Caenorhabditis elegans: one gene and its partners. The protein of the gene in region 3 purifies or fractionates together with the protein of the main gene of each other region. This does not show direct contact. Each region holds a gene or a part of one and is shown on either strand. Other genes may lie near its edges.

Region 1 (4,758 bases), on a different chromosome or scaffold from region 3:
CCGTGGACTATTCGGCTCATGTTTGCTATCACTACTTTGCTCATGTGCATGAGGATGTAAGGATTTTTCAGCTTAGTGTGAGGGTATCGTAGTGGTACTATAGTAGTACTGTATGACTACTGTAGGGGCACTGTAGGAGTAGTGTAGGAGTTCTTCTGTGGTACTGTGGGAGCACTGTAGTTCTGTAAAAAAATAGTTTCAAAAAACTTAATCTACAGTAGTCTAAAATACAGTAACCTGGGATTCCGTTTCTACGAGGAATCTCCGTTTCATAAAGAATCACAACACTAAAAGTTGTGTGTGGCTGACTTAAATTAGCTCTACAGTAATCCCATCAAGCTAAGCCACTTATTAAGACGCCCGAGCTACAGTACCCCTTACTGTACTGGCATTCTAGTCAAATACTATACTATAAAATTGAAACATGCATTAACCCTACAGTACCCTAATCTATGATCTTATTTTTAAACTATTGTACCATCACGTGGTGTCAGAGAGTCCCATTTCGGTTTGAAATACGTAGATCTACAAAAAATGCGGGAGTTGAGACGCAGAGATTTCAACTGATTTTCAACACATTTCTCTTGGCGAAATATCCCCGCATTTTTTTTGTAGATCAAACCGTAATGGGACAGCCCCACACGATGTTTACATACTTCACACTACATCCACCATACCAAACAACCGTACCCCATTTTCAAACCAACTTCATATTTTTCTAGGAGCAACTCTGGAGATCACATAACTACGCCGAGACTCGTGACCGTCTTCTAAGCACCTTCCGCGGAGTCGCCTGGCCAGTAATGCAGTCCGGGCTCTCCACGATTCTTGGCATGTTCCCATTGATGTTTGTACGTGCGTATGTTGTAGCAGTATTCTGGAAGACTGTGATCCTGGTCGGTATACTTGGAATGCTTCATGCTCTCATTCTGTTGCCAGTAATATTCATTTTAACGCATGACATTAAGCTCTTATTCCGACGGAAACGTGCAGTTGCTCCTACTCCGCATTCGATGGAATTGGCTTCATAGAGCGTTTTGTTGTAGTTTGTATGTTTTTTTGAAAACCCAGGGTATTTTCTTTTCCATTGATTGTATTATCATCTAATACGGGTTGTTCACATCTCCATTGATTGTTTGATAACATGTTTGAAATAAAATTTTCGTACTCAATAGTAAAACAGTACACAGCTCTATGTTTTAGGTTACATATGAGTATGAAATAAATGAAAAGAGTGGTTCGAAGCACTTGAGAATTATCTTCGGTACTCAAGCAGCACTGTTACTGTAGCGAACAGAACTATGAAATTTTTAGAAAATTAAATTACACTAGTGAATTTATATTCCCACAATAATTTGAATTTTTACAAGGAGATATTAAAACTATTTATTGTATTCAATTATCAAACAATTTACAACAAACTTTAGTACTGAGTATCTGGGCGAATCTCGACCCACTTCTTGATAGCTGGAATCGCATAGACCTTCTCCCGAAGAGCAACCAACTTTGGCTCTCCCGCTGGAGTGAATAACTGATTTTTGTCCAAAGTTGTGATGCACTCCACAACTACAATATCGGCAAAAGTGAGCCCATCTCCAACCAAGAATCCTGACTTGCTCTTCTCCAGGATCCCATTGATGATTACGAAGAATGCATCTCTAGCCGGAACGACATCTGATTGCATGATCTTTGCAATCTCCTCAGCTGGCTTTCCAGCGGCATGTGCTTTTCCGACTTCTCTGAAGGATCCCATGAAATCCTTGAATTGGTCAACGATGGCATCTGCCCAAGCTTGCTCTTCCGGGGTTTTTCCAGCATATCCAAATTTATTGGCAAGATAGCGGATGATTGCAGCAGATTGTGGAATTTCAAATCCATCGACGGATAGGACCGGGACTTGTCCGAGTGGAGTTTCTGAAATACTTACTTTGAGTTTAGTGTTTGCCACATATAAATGACCTACTTTCTTTCAGCTTTTCCCATGTTCCATCTCCATGGGTCATACGGAAATCCTCAAATGGAACATCGGCAAGATGGAAGAGAATACGAGCAGCTTCTCCGTAGCCACGAGCGTTGAAATAGGTGAGTTTGTAGGAAGGCATAGTGATCTGTCTGTTTTAAATATAGGTATGTGTGATAGTGTGATTCCGATATCAAACAATTTTTCGAAATAGCATTGGAAAAATGCAGTCTTTCCGCATAGTCTTATCAAATATTTGACAGAAAAAGTCAAACCATGATTAATTTTTACAAAGTATTTCAGAGAAAAATAACAATTTAAGGTCAATTGTACAATTTTAAAAAATGTATCCTGGACCATAAAATTTTTTTAACTGTAAAATTGAACAGAACTGAGTTTAGCTTCAATCTAGATAGAAAAATAAAGTTAAAAATAGAATTAACACGTTCAGAATTAACGTATTTGAAAATAAAATGAGATTACATGAACATAACATAACGATTTATTGAATTAATATATCAGCACATTTAAAACAAACCTAGTTCAGGGTATCTGGACGAATCTCAACCCATTTCTTTATTGCTGGAATCGCATATACCTTCTCTCGAAGCGCGACCAATTTTGGTTGCTCCGATGCAGTGAAGAGCTGATGTTTGTCCAAAGTTGTGATGCATTCCACAATCACAATATCTGCGATGGTTAGACCATCTCCAACTAAAAATCCGGACTTGCTCTTCTCAAGGATCTTGTTGATTATCACAAAGAATGCATCTCTTGCCGGAACGAGATCTGACTGGATGATCTTCCCGACCTCCTCGGCAGACTTTCCAGCAGCGCTTGCTTTTCCCACTTCTTTGATTGATACCATAAAATCCTTGTATTGATCGACGATAGCATCAGTCCAGGCTTGCTCCTCCGGGGTTTTTCCAGCATATCCGAATTGCTTGGCAAGGTAGCGGTTGATTGCAGCGGATTGTGGAATTTCAAATCCATCAACTGATAAGACTGGGGCTTGTCCAAATGGAGTTTCTAAATAGAAACAAAAAATAATGTTCAATTTCTGTCTTGGCTACTTTATTTCAGTTTTTTTTAAATTTTAATATGGCGTTTCAAGGTCGCTATTACTTACTGGCTTTGAGATTTTCCCATGTTCCATCTCCAATGGTCATTCGGAAATCTTCAAATGGAACATCGGCAAGATGGAACAGAATACGAGCTGGTTCTCCATATCCACGCACGTTAAAATAGGTCAGCTTGTAGGATGGCATTTTAGTTAAATGAAAACCACAACCAGACAGTTTTCTTGTGTGATTCTGCAAGCAAAATGATTGGGAAAAATTCCTCCGCAAAGTGTTATCAAACTGTCGTGGAGATCAATAAACCAAAAACCAAGAAATGGATGGGGGGGGGGGGGGGGAGGTGGGAGAAGAGTCAATAAAAATTCGGACGGAGAGTCAATAAAATCCAAAATTCTACTTTAAGTTAAAATAAAAAATGTCGAACGAGGTAAAGTGCCCGCAATCCAATGAACGATAATCGAAGGAGTGGACATCATTCCGTTTTCTATTCGCCTCTTCCATGCACTTGCAATAAACAGAACTTGCAAGTGTTTGGTAGAGAGGCGGTGAGAGGGCACGAACCTGTGGCAGTCGGAACGAGAGACCAACTCGTTATCCAGCAGGCCACGCGTGCACTTGGCAGAAACGGTGTTGTTGAGAATGATGTTGAGTGCGGGTTTTAGAGGAAGAAGGCAGCTGCGATTGAGAGGAAAATTGCAAATAAGAATGCAAATAGTGGTGCATTTTAAAAATTTATTCGAATTTGTAATTATATTACTTCATTGAACAAAATTTCAAGAAAATTTTCGATTTAGTACTGAGTATCTGGACGAGCCTCTACCCACTTCCTGATAGCTGGAATTGCATAGACCTTCTCTCGAAGAGCAGCCAAGTTTGGTTGCTCCGAAGCAACAAACAATTGATTTTTCTCCAAAGTAGTAATATTCTCAGAGATGACAATGTCCGCGAAGGTGATACTGTCGCCGACTAGGAATCCTGACTTGCTCTTTTCAAGAAGCCCATTGAGAATCTTAAAGTACGAATCTCTAGCTGGAATCACTACTTCAGAAGTGATCTTTGCAATTTCTTCCTGAGATTTTCCAGCGAAATGTGCCATGATACGTTCGCGGAATGATCCCATGAAATCCTTGAACTGATCAACGATGGCATCTGCCCAAACCTGCTCTTCTGGGGTTTTTCCAGCATATCCGAATTTGTTGGCAAGGTAGCGGATTATTGCAGCAGATTGTGGGATATCAAATCCATCAACGGTCAGGTAAGGTACTTGACCAAATGGGGCGCCTGAAAAAATATATATATGTGAGTAAGTATTTGGAGCATTCTAAAAATTTCAAAATTTTCAGAAATTTTCCAAAAAGCTCCAGAAGTTGTAAAAGTTTCTAGAAAAAAATTTTTAGATTAAAATTCGAATCCCATCCAAAACTTCATCGTGAAAAATAATGTTTTTTTTATTGTGAATTTCCCGCTAAAAAAGTTTCGAAACAATTACATATACATAGCCCTAAAACTATTTTATAAAAAAAATTGATTTTTCCGGCGAAATTTTTTAAATAATTTTTTGTTTTAATTTGGAATGCCTTTTTTACGAAAAATGATGCCTACAATTTTTTGAAAAAAATTTAACCCATCCAAGACCGTGTGCTCAGAAAATTTGGCTTTCCCATTATTGTCAGAACTTTTTTTAAAATTTGAATGCCATCCATAACTTCTTATCAAAAT
Region 2 (7,266 bases), on a different chromosome or scaffold from region 3:
TTGTCAGAGGTAAAGATTTCGTTGTCTACCGCAAAAAGTTCAACGAAATAAATGGACTTATCATGTTTACGATAACCATAAGTTACTATGGTTGTTTTCCCTTGGGTGTATGTTTTGCAGTTTGAAATAGACAAAAAGAAACATGCTTTTTAGAGATCCTGCTATGCAATCACAGAATACCCAGGGACATTTAAAAAAGTGGTACCACACATCAATACTAAGAAACACACAACTCATCACAAACATCACTCAAATCATTCAACTATGCACCATGAATCACAAAAGCTCACATTCAAATCGCTCAACCTTCTTTCATTACCACACAAAAAAGATTGCACATGGACTAGTTTTCTTGATTTCTGGCCAATCAACAAATTAATTTATTCCGATTAAGCCAAGAAAAACTTGTTCAAACTCTTGTAACTGCAATAAGCCAATAATAACACTTTAATTGTATAAAGGAGGATGTCATATTATGAGAAACCCAAATAATACATTTCATCTGGTATATCTTAAATGTTCAATTTCTTTGCTTCATTCACAATTCCAAAAATGATTTATACTTGTTTGACAATTGTTCTGTCAGTCTACCACTTCCCATTTCCCCTATTAAATCCTGTAGCATTGCTACAACTGTTTCTTGCCAAAAACTTTTCAGCTATTATTTCATGTACTTTATTTTTATTCTTATTTTTACTCCTGCTGTGCCACTTTGTATGAAATGATTTCAACAAATAATTTTTTTCAGAATCATAAATTTCAGCATTTAAAGAAACAAACATGTCAGGCTACACGAAGGAAGAAAAAGTAAAAGTGCATTAGAAGATTTTATACTTGTTTTTTTAATCTTCAATGAAGCAACAGACATCTCAATTAAAAGCTTTTAAAAAATGTCAAAGGAAATTGCCAGAAAAACTAAAAATCTAAGTTTTTCAATACTAAATCCCCTTTTTCAAATATTTTCGAGCTAACTTACTTGCTACGATTTTCAACAAATAAGTATCTGTAAAAAAGTTTTGCATTGTCTTTTTTGATAGGAAGATATAAAAACAACAATGCAATTTCCATGTCAAAAATAATATGCATGGTCTTGATACAAACTGCAAAAAAAATTATTAAAAAAAAAGCATTACTACCCAAACTATTATATCCCGTTTTTAAGTAGAAATACTGAATAACCAATTTTTGGAAAAATGTATCATAGTTATGATACACAGATATTGTGTTGAGCTGATGAAAAAGTAATTGAATCCAGCAAATTTCAATTTCATAGCCAATCAACTGCTATGATCATATGATGACGTGACAACAGGAAAAACCGGGTTTTTTCTGAAATAACAGGTTTTCGGCAAATATGTCCTGGCAGACAGAAATATTTTTTTTAATTCAATTTTATTGGTCTTCAAAAAATATGCTCTTATATACTCTTTTTATTTACAATTTCAGTATTAAATTCTTATATAAAATCACAATGTTACGCATATCACAAATAATCTGTAGAAAGAAGTATGAAAGCATTGTTTAGAATAGCCCATCAATGATCTCAGTGACTGGGTCAATGGTGATGTCGTAGAAGCACGGACGAGTGTTGAGTCCTGGCATTGTGGTCATTTCACCAACCAATGGGTAAATGAATCCAGCTCCAACGGATGCACGCACGTCGCGAATCGGAAGTGTGAAACCTACAAAAACTCTATCTTGATTTGAAAATAGTTGTTTGAATAGTTTGGTAGGAAATTGTTTATGCATAGTCAATATCGAGTTTCATTAACCAATCATAATGTTGAACTTTTAGTACCTAAACTATAAACATTAAAACATCAACAGAGTGTTTATAATTGACCGGTATCTAATAATTTGATTTCTTACCAGTTGGAGCACCCTTCTTTGTTGGGTCTGATGAAAGGGACAAATGAGTTTTTGCCATACAAATTGGCAACTTCGAGAATCCCTGTCTTGTGTATCTTTCCAATTTCTGTTTGGCCTCGTCAGATAGTTCAATGCCATCAGCACCATAGATTTCTTTGGCGATAGTAGCGATCTTGTCTTCCAATGACAAATCCAGGTTGTAAAGGAATTTGAATTGCTTTGGATGTCCAGTTGTAGCATTGACCAGAGAATTGGCGAGAGCAACCGCACCAGCGCCTCCTTGTGACCAGTGTTCGGAAACCACTGCATCAAATGCTCCGTATTCCTTGGCCTTGGAGCAAACAAGTTCCAACTCCTTGTCGGTATCGGTTGCGAACTTGTTCACGCAGACAACAACAGGGATTCCAAATTTGTTTGCATTCTCAATCTGCTTTCTAAGATTTGAATCGCATCCTCCTTCAACAAGTGGAATGTTTTCGTCAAGGTATTCGTGTTTCAGTGGAGCTCCTGCTACAACAGATGGACCACCTCCATGCATCTTAAGAGCTCTTACAGTTGCTACAAGGACAACTGCTGATGGCTGAAGTCCCGAGTAACGGCACTTGATGTTGAAGAACTTCTCCATTCCGATATCGGCTCCGAATCCAGCTTCAGTGATCACAAATCCGTCGGGTCCGGCAAGTTTCAAAGCAACCTTGTCAGCAAGAATACTGCTTTGTCCATGTGCAATATTAGCGAAGGGTCCGGCATGGACAAAAACCGGAGTACCCTCCAAAGTTTGCATCAGGTTTGGGCGAACGGTGTCTCGCATAAGAACTGTCAAAGCCCCAGTTACTCCAATATCATCAGCGGTTACTGGATTGCCAGCCTTGTCGGATCCGATCACAATTCGTGCAATTCTTTCTTGCATATCAGCGAGAGAAGTTGTCAACGCAAGAATCGCCATGAGCTACAAATAAGAATTAATAAATTAAAATTGCCATGAAATTGTTTTGACTAACCTCACTAGCAACAGTAATATCAAACTGAGTAGTTCGGGTGTGTCCCTTCTCATTCGGTCCCATTCCAATTTCAATCTTTCTTAAGAATCTATCGTTCGTATCCATCACACGGTTCCAGGTGATAGTTGCAGGATCTATGTTGAGACGAGCAAAGCTAACTCTCTGCTCTTCGCTAAGATTTTCAGCATCATCTACACGTGGGATTCCAAGACGGTCGAGGCGACGAAGTTGGATCTCCGAAAGTGGGCGGACTCCTGAAAAGTAAGTATTAATGTATTTATTTCTATGCCATAAAAAGGGACTTCAAACAAACCCTTCTTGTTCTTTGGTGCCAATCTGTTGAATAGTGCATCAGTTGCTTGGGTTGACTCATGGAACATTCTAGCATCGATTGCAGCAGCAAGAAGATTATTGGCTGCAGTAATTGCATGGATATCTCCTGTCAAATGAAGATTGAACTCCTCCATCGGAATAACCTGAGAGTATCCTCCTCCAGCAGCTCCTCCTTTAATTCCAAACGTTGGTCCTTGCGATGGCTGGCGTACACATGCGAACACCTTTTTGTGAAGATGAGCTCCGAGAGCTTGAACTAGTCCGATTGTCGTTGTGGATTTTCCTTCTCCAAGAGGTGTTGGCGTAATACCAGCAACTACAACGTACTTTCCATTTTTAACCTCGCTCAGTCTATCCAAAATGTCAAGAGAAACCTTTGCCTTCTTGCGTCCATAAAGGTCAAGCTCTTCTTGTTTGATTCCAATTTCCCCAGCTACCTGAAAATAATGAAGATAAGTTTTTTTTAAATTAAATATTCTTGAGTGCCTTTTCGATGTCCTTTGGTGGTTGAGCTCTCGAAATAGCAATATCCGATGGAACAGGAGTTAACAGGGTGGGCTTCAAGTATTCAACATTCCATGTGCTCTGAAATAAAAAATAATTCAACGAAATTATAATGTTTGATTTGGAACATTTAATCGAATTACCATTCGGTCAAATTTGCGGCGCAAGCAGCGTGAAAAATTGAAAATTGAAGTTGATGAAAAGATAGAAATTGTGACTTAAATGTTTATGGGAACTTCGATCAAAAATTCTTATTTTTTTATATTTTGATTCTTATCAATCAATAAAATAGATTGACAATAGTGATAATGTTGCAATTCGCAACTTGACTTTAAAAAACGATAAAACGCACGGACAGGTTTATCAGAAGAAAGTAACATATTTTAGGTTTTCCAGAAATGTATGACAACATATCAAACTGGGACATATTAAGTTTTTATTAGTCAACATAAACAAAAAAGACGCTTTTTCAAGATTAATTTCTATGTACATATTAATTTAACAGATAATACTCTTTTTTTTATCTTCAGACTCTTTTTTTTTTTGAAAATGTATTTTTACAGTGTGGAGTTATTATACACAAGTTCTGTTTTTTTTGCTCACGCTCAAAACATGAACAAATTATTTTTGTTATTTTTGGAGTTTTCAAAATTGCATTTTCCGTTTAAAAATCAAATCCCAAAACGTTAGTGTTACTTACCATGTTTCACAATTCAAGAGAAACCAATGAATCAACGAAAATAAAAAGCGAGTGATTCAAACAACTGCAGAGCGATGGCCACTAAATACAAACACCTTGATAAGGCAGTGGGCAGAACAAGTAATCGAGTCAGTATCAGATATTAGGAGACGCACAGAAAACATGCACGGGGGGCATTTGCCGGGTCTGCCTTATTGATCGCGTCCTCTGATTTGTTCGATGTTGCGTCGCTCTCGTGCATCTAAACATCTAAACTAACCACGTGCATTTATCGCGAGACCATGGTCTTTTTACAAATCAGGGCTAATTGTGTCCTTGGTCATTGTTTATTTCGGTGGAAAGTGACAATAAAAAGAAAATACAAATTGAAAAGATTAGATTAAAAAAAGGTATGAAGAGGACTTCAAGTTCCAGAACGTCACAACAAATTTTAAAGAGTAAAAAGTCAAACCAAAAAGCACATTATAAATAGTTCATTCGCAAATGATGTGGTGGAAGTGGGTGCTTGAAGTTCACTCATCATCGTCATCCTGAAAAGTAGGTTCTGTGAAATACAACACTTACAAATATTTTTAACATATTTTCAATCGATTTTGTGTGAGGCACACTATAGTTGCAGAACAACTTTACATTCGGTGTAAATAATGAAGACAATGTCCATGAAATTTGCTTGTTTCGTAGAGTTTATCGCTCAATGAATTTTTGAAGTTCTTTGAGTCGATAACGTGCTATCGGTGTCTTTTGTAATTTTTGAAATAAACTCTGGTGCATCAGTATCAACCCCACACGCAAAACAAACTGTTTGGCACTATCCACGCTTAGGCCAGAACATCAAAAAACCTGCACAAACTTAGTGTCGCAAAAGGAAAGCTATTTTACCTTTTGTCCAAGACGTCGTCTCTTAGCCTGCTCAAATGTGTTACGGATGAGCATGGCAACAGTCATTGGTCCAACGCCTCCGGGGACAGGTGTGAGGAATCCGGCGACTTCCTTTGCGGCTTCTGTGTCAACATCTCCGTAAATTTTGCGTGAGTTTGGGTCGTCACCAACGTTGATTCCACAGTCGATGACGAATGCGCCAGGCTTGATCCAATCAGCTGAAATATATGCTTTTATTTGTAAAAAACGCTGACACTTATCAGAACAGAGAGTCTGTTTCTATTTGATGCAAAACAATTCAGAAGTTGCAAACAGTCAGGTGCATACTAAACATTGATAGTTCTTAAATTGGGGTTTCTATTATAGATATTTTGCATAATTTAATGACTTACAAACTTTTAGGTTAGCAAGTAAATACCGTGCTGCTCATATAAAGGTCTACTCGTAATAACTTTTGCCAAGATTCTTCTTTTAAATGGATTTGGGCGTAATTATGAAAAAAGCAACGCGAAATTTGTTCAATGATGAATTCCAAAAAATCAGGATATAAAAACTTTCACTATTTTACTATAGTCAGATCTCAGCTCGGAATAACCACGTTTGCTGAAGTTGAAATCAATCTTTTGATATCTGTATGGCCAGTACTGTGCACTATCTCAAATTTAGGTTTATTGATAATCTACCTTTGACGAAATGTTTTCTCCCAATTGCCACAATCAAAATATCTGCTCTCAGGCATTTCTCCTTGAGATTTGGAGTTTTTGAGTGGCAGATTGTCACAGTTCCATGATGCCACAAGAAAAGCGCAGCGGCTGGAGATCCGACAATTTTCGAGCGTCCCAAAACAACCACCTCCTTTCCAGACACAAAGTTGGCATCACCAGTTGCCTGTTGAACCAAGTACAAGCATCCAAACGGAGTGCAAGGAAAGATCGTACGCTGGAGTTCTCCACGAGCCAAACGTCCAGCATTGATACGAGTCAGTCCATCGACATCTTTCAATGGGTCAATCAAGTCGATAACAGAGTCTGCGTCGATTTCGTGCTTGCAGTCCAGTGGAAGCTGAAATTAATAACTTGCTATTATTGTTTAGCTTCCGATGTTTTTTTTTAATTAACTGAGATGTGTTTTTTTTCCGTTATAAGTTAACATTTCAATATTACAACTTAATCCGTTATATTAACCTGAATGATAATTCCGTCAATCTCGTTGTCATGATTAAGAGCCATAATCTCTCGCTTCAAATCTCCTTGAGTGATGGTGTCTGGCAACTTAATGAGTTTTCCATCTGCTCCGATTTCCTTTGCTTTTTTCAGTTTGGAATTAATGTACACATTGGAGTCTGAACGATTTCCAACCTGCAAATTTTGAGACTTTGAGTTATTCAGTATAACAGATATCCCCTCGGATATTATTTGTCTTGTTACGAAATAAAAGCCGGTATCTCAAAAGTACACCACAACTACAAATTACGCTCTGCAAAACTTTCAAAATCTGTTTTGTAAGTATGCAATGCACTTATGTACGTCATGAACTCAAAACACAGATTGGACAGAGATTTTCATTTTCATATATTCAATTTAGAAATATTATTAAGTTAATAGCAATGCTTGAAATAAAATTATTATCAGTGGTAAGCTTTCATACCTGAACAATTGCCAATACTGCATGAAAATTTGGGTGGTGCTCACGGGTTTTTGCGATTTTCTGTCCGACATCGTGAAGAACCTTTTTTGAGTACTCGAGTCCACTGACGATCTCCGCGACCATTCTAAAAAATAAACAAAGTAATAATCAAGTTGAAAAATACGTCAAGAAAACAAGAAGGGGAAGAGTAAAGGAAAAGAGTACGAAACTCCTCTTGTACTTGGCTATTCATGGGAAGAGACTAGTGCAGAAGTCAGAGGACAAGCTGATTGGAAACTTAGCACATATTCACATTTCGATGGTGGGGGACAGAGTGAAAAAATAAAGCGTCGA
Region 3 (6,347 bases):
TTCTCTTCGATGAACTTGTGTTGGAGAAGCTTCATGAAAAAATATCGAAGGATGTGATGAAGAATCCCGAAGCAGTCCTTGAAAAGCTTGAACAAGTTCGTAGTGCTCTTTTCTCAAACGGAGTGAATGCTCATTTTGTTGCTGACGTTGATTCAATTGATCCGAAAATGTTGAGTTCCGATCTTTGGACCTGGGTACAAGCTGATCCAAGATTCGGACCTGGACATCAATTCTCAGCTGAAGCTGGTGAAAACGTATCACTTGAGCTCGGAAAGGAACTTCTCATCGGAGTTGGTGGATCCGAGTCTTCATTCATCTATCAAACAAGCTTCCTTGATGCTAACTGGAATTCAGAGGAGTTGATTCCAGCAATGATCTTTGGACAATATCTCTCTCAGTGTGAAGGTCCATTGTGGCGTGCAATTCGTGGAGATGGACTTGCCTATGGAGCTAACGTATTTGTGAAACCCGATCGGAAGCAAATCACTTTGAGTCTCTACAGATGCGCTCAGCCAGCAGTGGCTTATGAGAGAACCAGAGATATTATTGTAAGTAGAAAAAAATAAGTTTCGTTAAAATAACTTTAAATTTCAGCGCAAAATCGTCGAGAGCGGTGAAATCTCCAAAGCAGAATTTGAGGGAGCAAAGAGATCAACTGTGTTCGAGATGATGAAGCGTGAAGGAACTGTGAGTGGAGCTGCAAAGATCAGCATTCTCAATAATTTCCGTCAAACTCCCCATCCATTCAATATGTGAGTTTACTGAAAACATTCTAAGACTAGGAAAGTATCAACTTCCGCGATTTCAGTGATCTGTGTCGCCGTATCTGGAATCTGACATCGGAAGAGATGGTTAAGATCGGCGGACCACCACTGGCTCGTCTTTTCGATGAGAAGTGCTTTGTCCGTTCAATTGCTGTTCATCCATCAAAACTCAATGAGATGAAGAAGGCATTCCCAGGAAGTAGCAAGATCAAGATTTCGGACTTGCAGTTTGCATGCTAGTTTGCCTGTTCTTTTATATTCTTATTATTCTTCCATCATTTCCCCGTTTGTTGGCTCTGGTTTTATTTATTTCTTTCGGTAGCTTGTTTTGTTAAATAAAGTTCTGGTCTGATTTGAATTAAACACAAATGGAAAAAAGTCGGTGAACGTTGCATTAAACAGCTACCCCAAACATCACTGTGAGAGAACTGTAGAAGGGTCCAGATGTGTGCGGCATTCAGAAAATTCAGCATACGGCTTATGCCAAATGCCGTAGATAATCTCAATTGCTTTCTAAATATAAAAAAACAATTAAATTTGAAAAGATCAATATTTATTTCTCCTGTTTAAAATTCAAACATGAAAGTGATAAAATGGCGGGAATGTTTTTATAAATACAAATGCAATGTTGATAATGACGATGATGATTAAAATTAGAAAGTTTCGTTTCCTGGAATCTCGAACTTCGTGGAGAACTCCTCAACACGTTTGGCGAGATCAGCGACGTCTTTCTTGAATGGTTCATTGGTCTCAGTGAATGATTTGAAGTCTTTCAATGTCTTTCCAGCCTCAGCATTGTACTTCTTTGCGATTTGAACACCTGAAATCAATATTTTAGATTAATGTTGAAGATTACAGTTGAAAAAACATACCCTCATGAATGAAATCTCCGACTTTCTCGAAATCTTGCTCCTGGAATCCACGGGAGGTGAGAGCTGGAGTTCCGAGACGAATGCCTCCTGGTCTCAAAGCAGAAACGTCTCCTGGGCACGTATTCTTGTTGCAAGCAATATGAGCGAGATCAAGCACATGCTCAGCACGAGCTCCTTCAACTCCGATTGGGCGCAAGTCAACAAGCAACAAATGATTGTCGGTTCCTCCGGTTGCCAAAGCATATCCATGCTTCTTCATTCTCTCGGCCAAGGTTTTGGCATTCTTCAACACTTGCTCTCCGTACTGAACAAAATCTTCAGAAAGGCATTGTCTCAAAGCAACGGCAATTCCAGCAATAGTGTGATTGTGTGGTCCACCTTGAAGTCCTGGGAACACGGCCGAGTTGATCTTCTCCTCCAAATCATACAAAGTGTCAACTCCCTTTGCGTTGGTAGATCGGACACCCTTTCTGTAGAAGATCAAAGCTCCACGTGGTCCTCTGAGCGACTTGTGCGTCGTTGTGGTTACAACATCAGAATACTCGAATGGTGATGGGATAAGTCCAGCGGCAACAAGTCCGGAGATGTGAGCCATATCAGACATCAAATAGGCTCCAGCCTTTGTGGCAATCTTACGGAAACGTTCATAATCGAGATGACGAGCGTAGCAGGAAACTCCGGCAATGATGGCTTTTGGACGGAAAAGCATTGCATTCTGCTCAAGCTTGTCATAGTCGATCAATCCAGTTGTTGGATCAACCTTGTATGGAAGAGACTGGAAGAATTCAGAAGTCGCAGAGACTTTGCGAGCTGGGGTGAAGAATCTGAAATTAAATGTATAATTCATTCGAGTCTAATCTAGATAACCTTACCCATGAGTCAAATGACCTCCATCTGGAAGATCGAGGCCCATAATGCGTCCATTGGATCCAACGATGGCAGTGTAGACTGCGAAATTGGCTGGTGATCCGGACAATGGCTGCACATTGACTCCCCACTTGGCTGGATCAAGTCCGAATACCTCAAGAGCTCTCTTCTGGCAAAGGAGCTCCATCTGATCGATGAACTCATTTCCTCCGTAATACCGAGCTCCAGGGTATCCTTCACTGTATTTGTTGCACATTGCCGAGCCAAGAGCATCCATAACAGCCTTGCTTGTGAAGTTCTCGGAAGCGATGAGCTCAAGTCCACGACGCTGCCGCTTCTTCTCCTGAAAAAAACAAATGACTAAGATTTGAGAAACATTAAGTCTTACATTTTTCATGATATCGAAAACTTCTGGATCAACTTTCTCAACATGGTCCACCAAAATGTTCTCGTTGTTGGTGTACTTGTGGCGCTGAACTTTAGCCAATGGTGTGTGCACTTGACGATCAGCCATTTTACACTGTAAAACCAAATTAAATTAAGCAAAGAAGCGAAAAAATCGGGAACATATTCAACACAAAAGCTGACGCGTTGGCAACACGTATATGCATGGGAAAGTGTGGAGAAAATAAGAATAAAACTGGATTCGCGGTAGGCTATGATGATATCTGAACCGGGAAGTTTTCGAGATTGGGCGCATCCCGGATCGTAGATCAAAACTGATAAGTCAAAAGTTACTCATTAGAAATTGTAATTAAAGAGGTATTCGAGCGTGGTTTTAACAAGTGTACACTAACTTAGTAATAAAAACAAAAAAGTGGTCTCTAATAACAAAAATATAATGCAGATAACTTTCAAATGCAAACACAAAACATTGCTACAGAAAACTATGCAAAGAAACCATTTAAAACAAGTGCAAACGATACTGCAGCGTGTACATGTGTTATTCAGAACTGCAAAAAGAAACAACGGAGCAAGACATTTTCACAGCTTATGGTAAAAATATACGCGGAGAAAATAGAGAACTACGATTATCAATGCAACATCACAGAGATGATCATTAAAAATAAAAATAAAGAAGTGAATAGAGTTTATCAGTTACCAAGTTGTTATCAAAGCAACAAAAGCGGCGCCTGTGGGTCAATGTCAACGATATTTCTATTGCTGGACAAGTCGGAGACAAGCCCGAGATAACTGAGTGAAAGGCGGAAAATGGCAAGATATTATGATGAAGATCACTTTCTGATCAGAAACAACGAGTGAACCATGGACGGTGCCGTTTTGGGAATGAAAATGGGGAGAGAAAAGCAAATTGCAACTTTGAGCGGGCAAAATTTTTACAAATTCAAATATTCGCGCCATGCGTATTTTACAACTGATCCCACGCGAAAGTGCACACACAAACCTGGGAGCTGGCTCCGGCAAATAATCCAGTTGCTGCTCTTCTGCTCACTATCCTTGCAAACATTTTGTGCCTGAAAATATTAAAATAACAAATAAAATTCTAGAACTTCAGAATAAATGTGTTAAAACAGAAATCGACTATCGATCAGACCACTGATCGTTATCAGTCTTATCAGTTTCTCTGTTTTGTTGCAAACAAGAGATGAAACTTGCCGTTTTTATTGCGATTCAACAGAATTTAAAGACTGATAGGTGGAAATGAGCGGACCGTTGATTCAAAAAATTAATACGATTTTATCGGTTTTAAAAGCAAAAGGTCAAACAACAAACTACTTATTTATTAAAAAAATTTTCAATTAATTTTTATAGACCCGAAAGAGTTCCATCGCTCAATGATCCCGTGATGACTGCAAGTGATTCTTCACTTTGCCCTGCTTGCTTCAAAATTCGATTTTGACGTTTTCGTGCAGCATCTTGGATTTTCCTAGCTGATTTTTGCTCTGAAGTCTCCGTCTGCAAATATTGCCGTCTTCTTGCTGCATCACGCTGTCGCCGATTTTCAGCTTCCTCTGGTGTTTCATTCTTAATAGCATCCCGACGTCTCTGAGCATTCTTGGCTCTACGCAATTCAGCTTCTTCTGGAGTTTCAGCCAGGAGACTCTTCCTTCTCCGTTCCGCATCCTTATTCCTTCTTTCCTGAGCTTTTTCGAATGACTCCCTTTGCAGATACTGGCGTCGATGCTCTGCAGCCTTTATTCTTCGATTATTTGCCTGATCTTCCGACTCTTGCATTCTTTCCATTTTTTTTCTTTCAGCTTGCCTTTTCAATCGTTCTCTATATTCTTCTTCTGTCTCTTCTGAGCATCTCTTCCTTTTATAGTCTGCAGCCTTGGCAAGACGTGTGTGAGTCTCCTCTGATGTTTCACGAGCTCTTCTCAGACGTTTCCGATGTGCTTCTTTGGAGAGTCTGCATTCTCTAGATCCTTCTTGAGGTTCGGATGAACTTGGAATATCCGTAATATGAGGTCTGAAACTTAAAAAAAATTTTAATATGCTATTTACTACTCTTACTCATCACTTGAACCAGGTAAAAATGTTGCTATAAAATTCTGAATTGTTTCTTCTAGGCCAGCATTTTGTGGACTTTCAGATTTATTCCCATTACTCTTCTCATCTTCTTCTTCGTCTTCGACAATATTTTTGCAATCTTTTCTACTCATTCTGAACTTACAAATATACATTAATTTTTCAGAAAACTTGAAAATCTACATTACTAAATACACAGACAGAGGTTTTGCGACTCCTGCGCCAAGAATACGGTGCCGATTCTCGACACGACATGTTTTAGTTAAATGAGAAAAACTTGTGCGCCTTCAAGGAGTACTGTAATTTTTTAATCTAGTTGGTGTGGAACCGTTCATGATTTTTCATACTTTTCTTACGTTCTGTTAAAATTCGTGTTTTTTTTTGAGTTTTCAATAGTTAAGGATGTTTTTCATCGGAATACGATGGAAAATCGATGAACATTCCGCAACTACAAAAGTTTGTAATTAAAGTACTCTCCAAAGGTGTGCACCGTTTTGAAATTATCACATTAAAAAAAATATCATGTCGAGACTGGGTACCGTTTTTGGCGCAAAAATCTCAAAATTACGCGTCGGAGTAATAAGAAAAATATAAATAAGGCTCAAAGAAAACAGGAGAATCGATGACGGCTTTCTGTGTGTCTGTGTGTCTTCATATCTTCATTGTCGGTGTTTCTGTGTGTATGTCTGTCCAGAGACAAACATACACGAGCGCAGACGTCTTGTTTGATTATCTGCGTCTCTTCTTCTATACAACACTTTGCAATCTTTTCAGAAAAGGATACTGTAGTGGGATGAATGTATATATGTACCACAATTATGGCAATATTGAAGCTTTTCCGTTCAAGTACACACTAATCAGAAATCTATTCATTTGGTTTGGATAAAAATGTAATGGCATTACAAAAGATGGGGAACACGAAAATGAGAGAAAATTGAGAGAAACCGTTGAAGAACAGAAATACATAATCTACGAGTCGATAGTGGCGAATAAATAAGTACAAAAATTATACACAAACATAAACGAGAAGCTAAAGGATTCACATTCCCTCGTATTTTGGGCCACCACCTCCTTCTGGTGTAACCCAGTTAATGTTTTGTTGAGGATCCTTGATGTCGCATGTCTTGCAGTGAATGCAATTTTGAGCATTGATTTGGAGACGCTTCTTTGATTCATCAGCTTCGGATGGGACGAATTCATAGACTCCTGGAAAAAAAAGTTATTTATGTGTTTTTAAAAGTCAAATTTGTATTAAAATCTCACCAGCTGGACAGAATCTAGCCTCCGGGCCACCATATACTGCCAAATTCACATCAAGTGGAACTTGATCATTTTTCAATGTCAAATGAGCAGG

What was found. The genes of interacting proteins can lie anywhere in the genome.
Region 1: the proteins of mel-32 (region 3) and gst-26 fractionate together in Caenorhabditis elegans (co-fractionation; one large-scale study listed by BioGRID). This does not show direct contact.
Region 2: the proteins of mel-32 (region 3) and K07E3.4 fractionate together in Caenorhabditis elegans (co-fractionation; one large-scale study listed by BioGRID). This does not show direct contact.

Annotation. Positions count from the first base shown.
Region 1 is NC_003280.10:15,162,442-15,167,199, forward strand, and holds gst-26 (glutathione transferase), read right to left. Parts: upstream 2,113-4,758; 5' UTR 2,103-2,112; coding exon 1,964-2,102; intron 1,915-1,963; coding exon 1,424-1,914; 3' UTR 1,376-1,423; downstream 1-1,375. Other genes in the region: ptr-20 (SSD domain-containing protein), read left to right, coding at 1-56, 723-1,031; gst-27 (glutathione transferase), read right to left, coding at 2,499-2,989, 3,090-3,228; gst-28 (glutathione transferase), read right to left, coding at 3,830-4,320.
Region 2 is NC_003284.9:8,079,494-8,086,759, forward strand, and holds K07E3.4 (formate--tetrahydrofolate ligase), read right to left. Parts: upstream 4,526-7,266; 5' UTR 4,411-4,525; coding exon 4,408-4,410; intron 3,910-4,407; exon of another isoform or gene 3,854-3,909; coding exon of another isoform or gene 3,851-3,853; intron 3,789-3,850; coding exon 3,690-3,788; intron 3,641-3,689; coding exon 3,184-3,640; intron 3,125-3,183; coding exon 2,871-3,124; intron 2,819-2,870; coding exon 1,870-2,818; intron 1,683-1,869; coding exon 1,522-1,682; 3' UTR 1,376-1,521; downstream 1-1,375. Other genes in the region: C46F2.1 (uncharacterized protein), read left to right, coding at 1-107, 154-393; dao-3 (C-1-tetrahydrofolate synthase, cytoplasmic), read right to left, coding at 4,920-4,937, 5,287-5,504, 5,970-6,348, 6,471-6,644, 6,934-7,056.
Region 3 is NC_003281.10:6,438,845-6,445,191, forward strand, and holds mel-32 (Serine hydroxymethyltransferase), read right to left. Parts: upstream 3,972-6,347; coding exon 3,909-3,971; intron 3,024-3,908; coding exon 2,892-3,023; intron 2,847-2,891; coding exon 2,509-2,846; intron 2,461-2,508; coding exon 1,637-2,460; intron 1,585-1,636; coding exon 1,418-1,584; downstream 1-1,417. Other genes in the region: C05D11.1 (uncharacterized protein), read left to right, coding at 1-548, 595-752, 809-1,004; C05D11.13 (Vicilin-like seed storage protein At2g18540), read right to left, coding at 4,271-4,940, 4,979-5,127; let-721 (Electron transfer flavoprotein-ubiquinone oxidoreductase, mitochondrial), read right to left, coding at 6,033-6,199, 6,257-6,347. UniProt on the Caenorhabditis elegans protein: Interconversion of serine and glycine.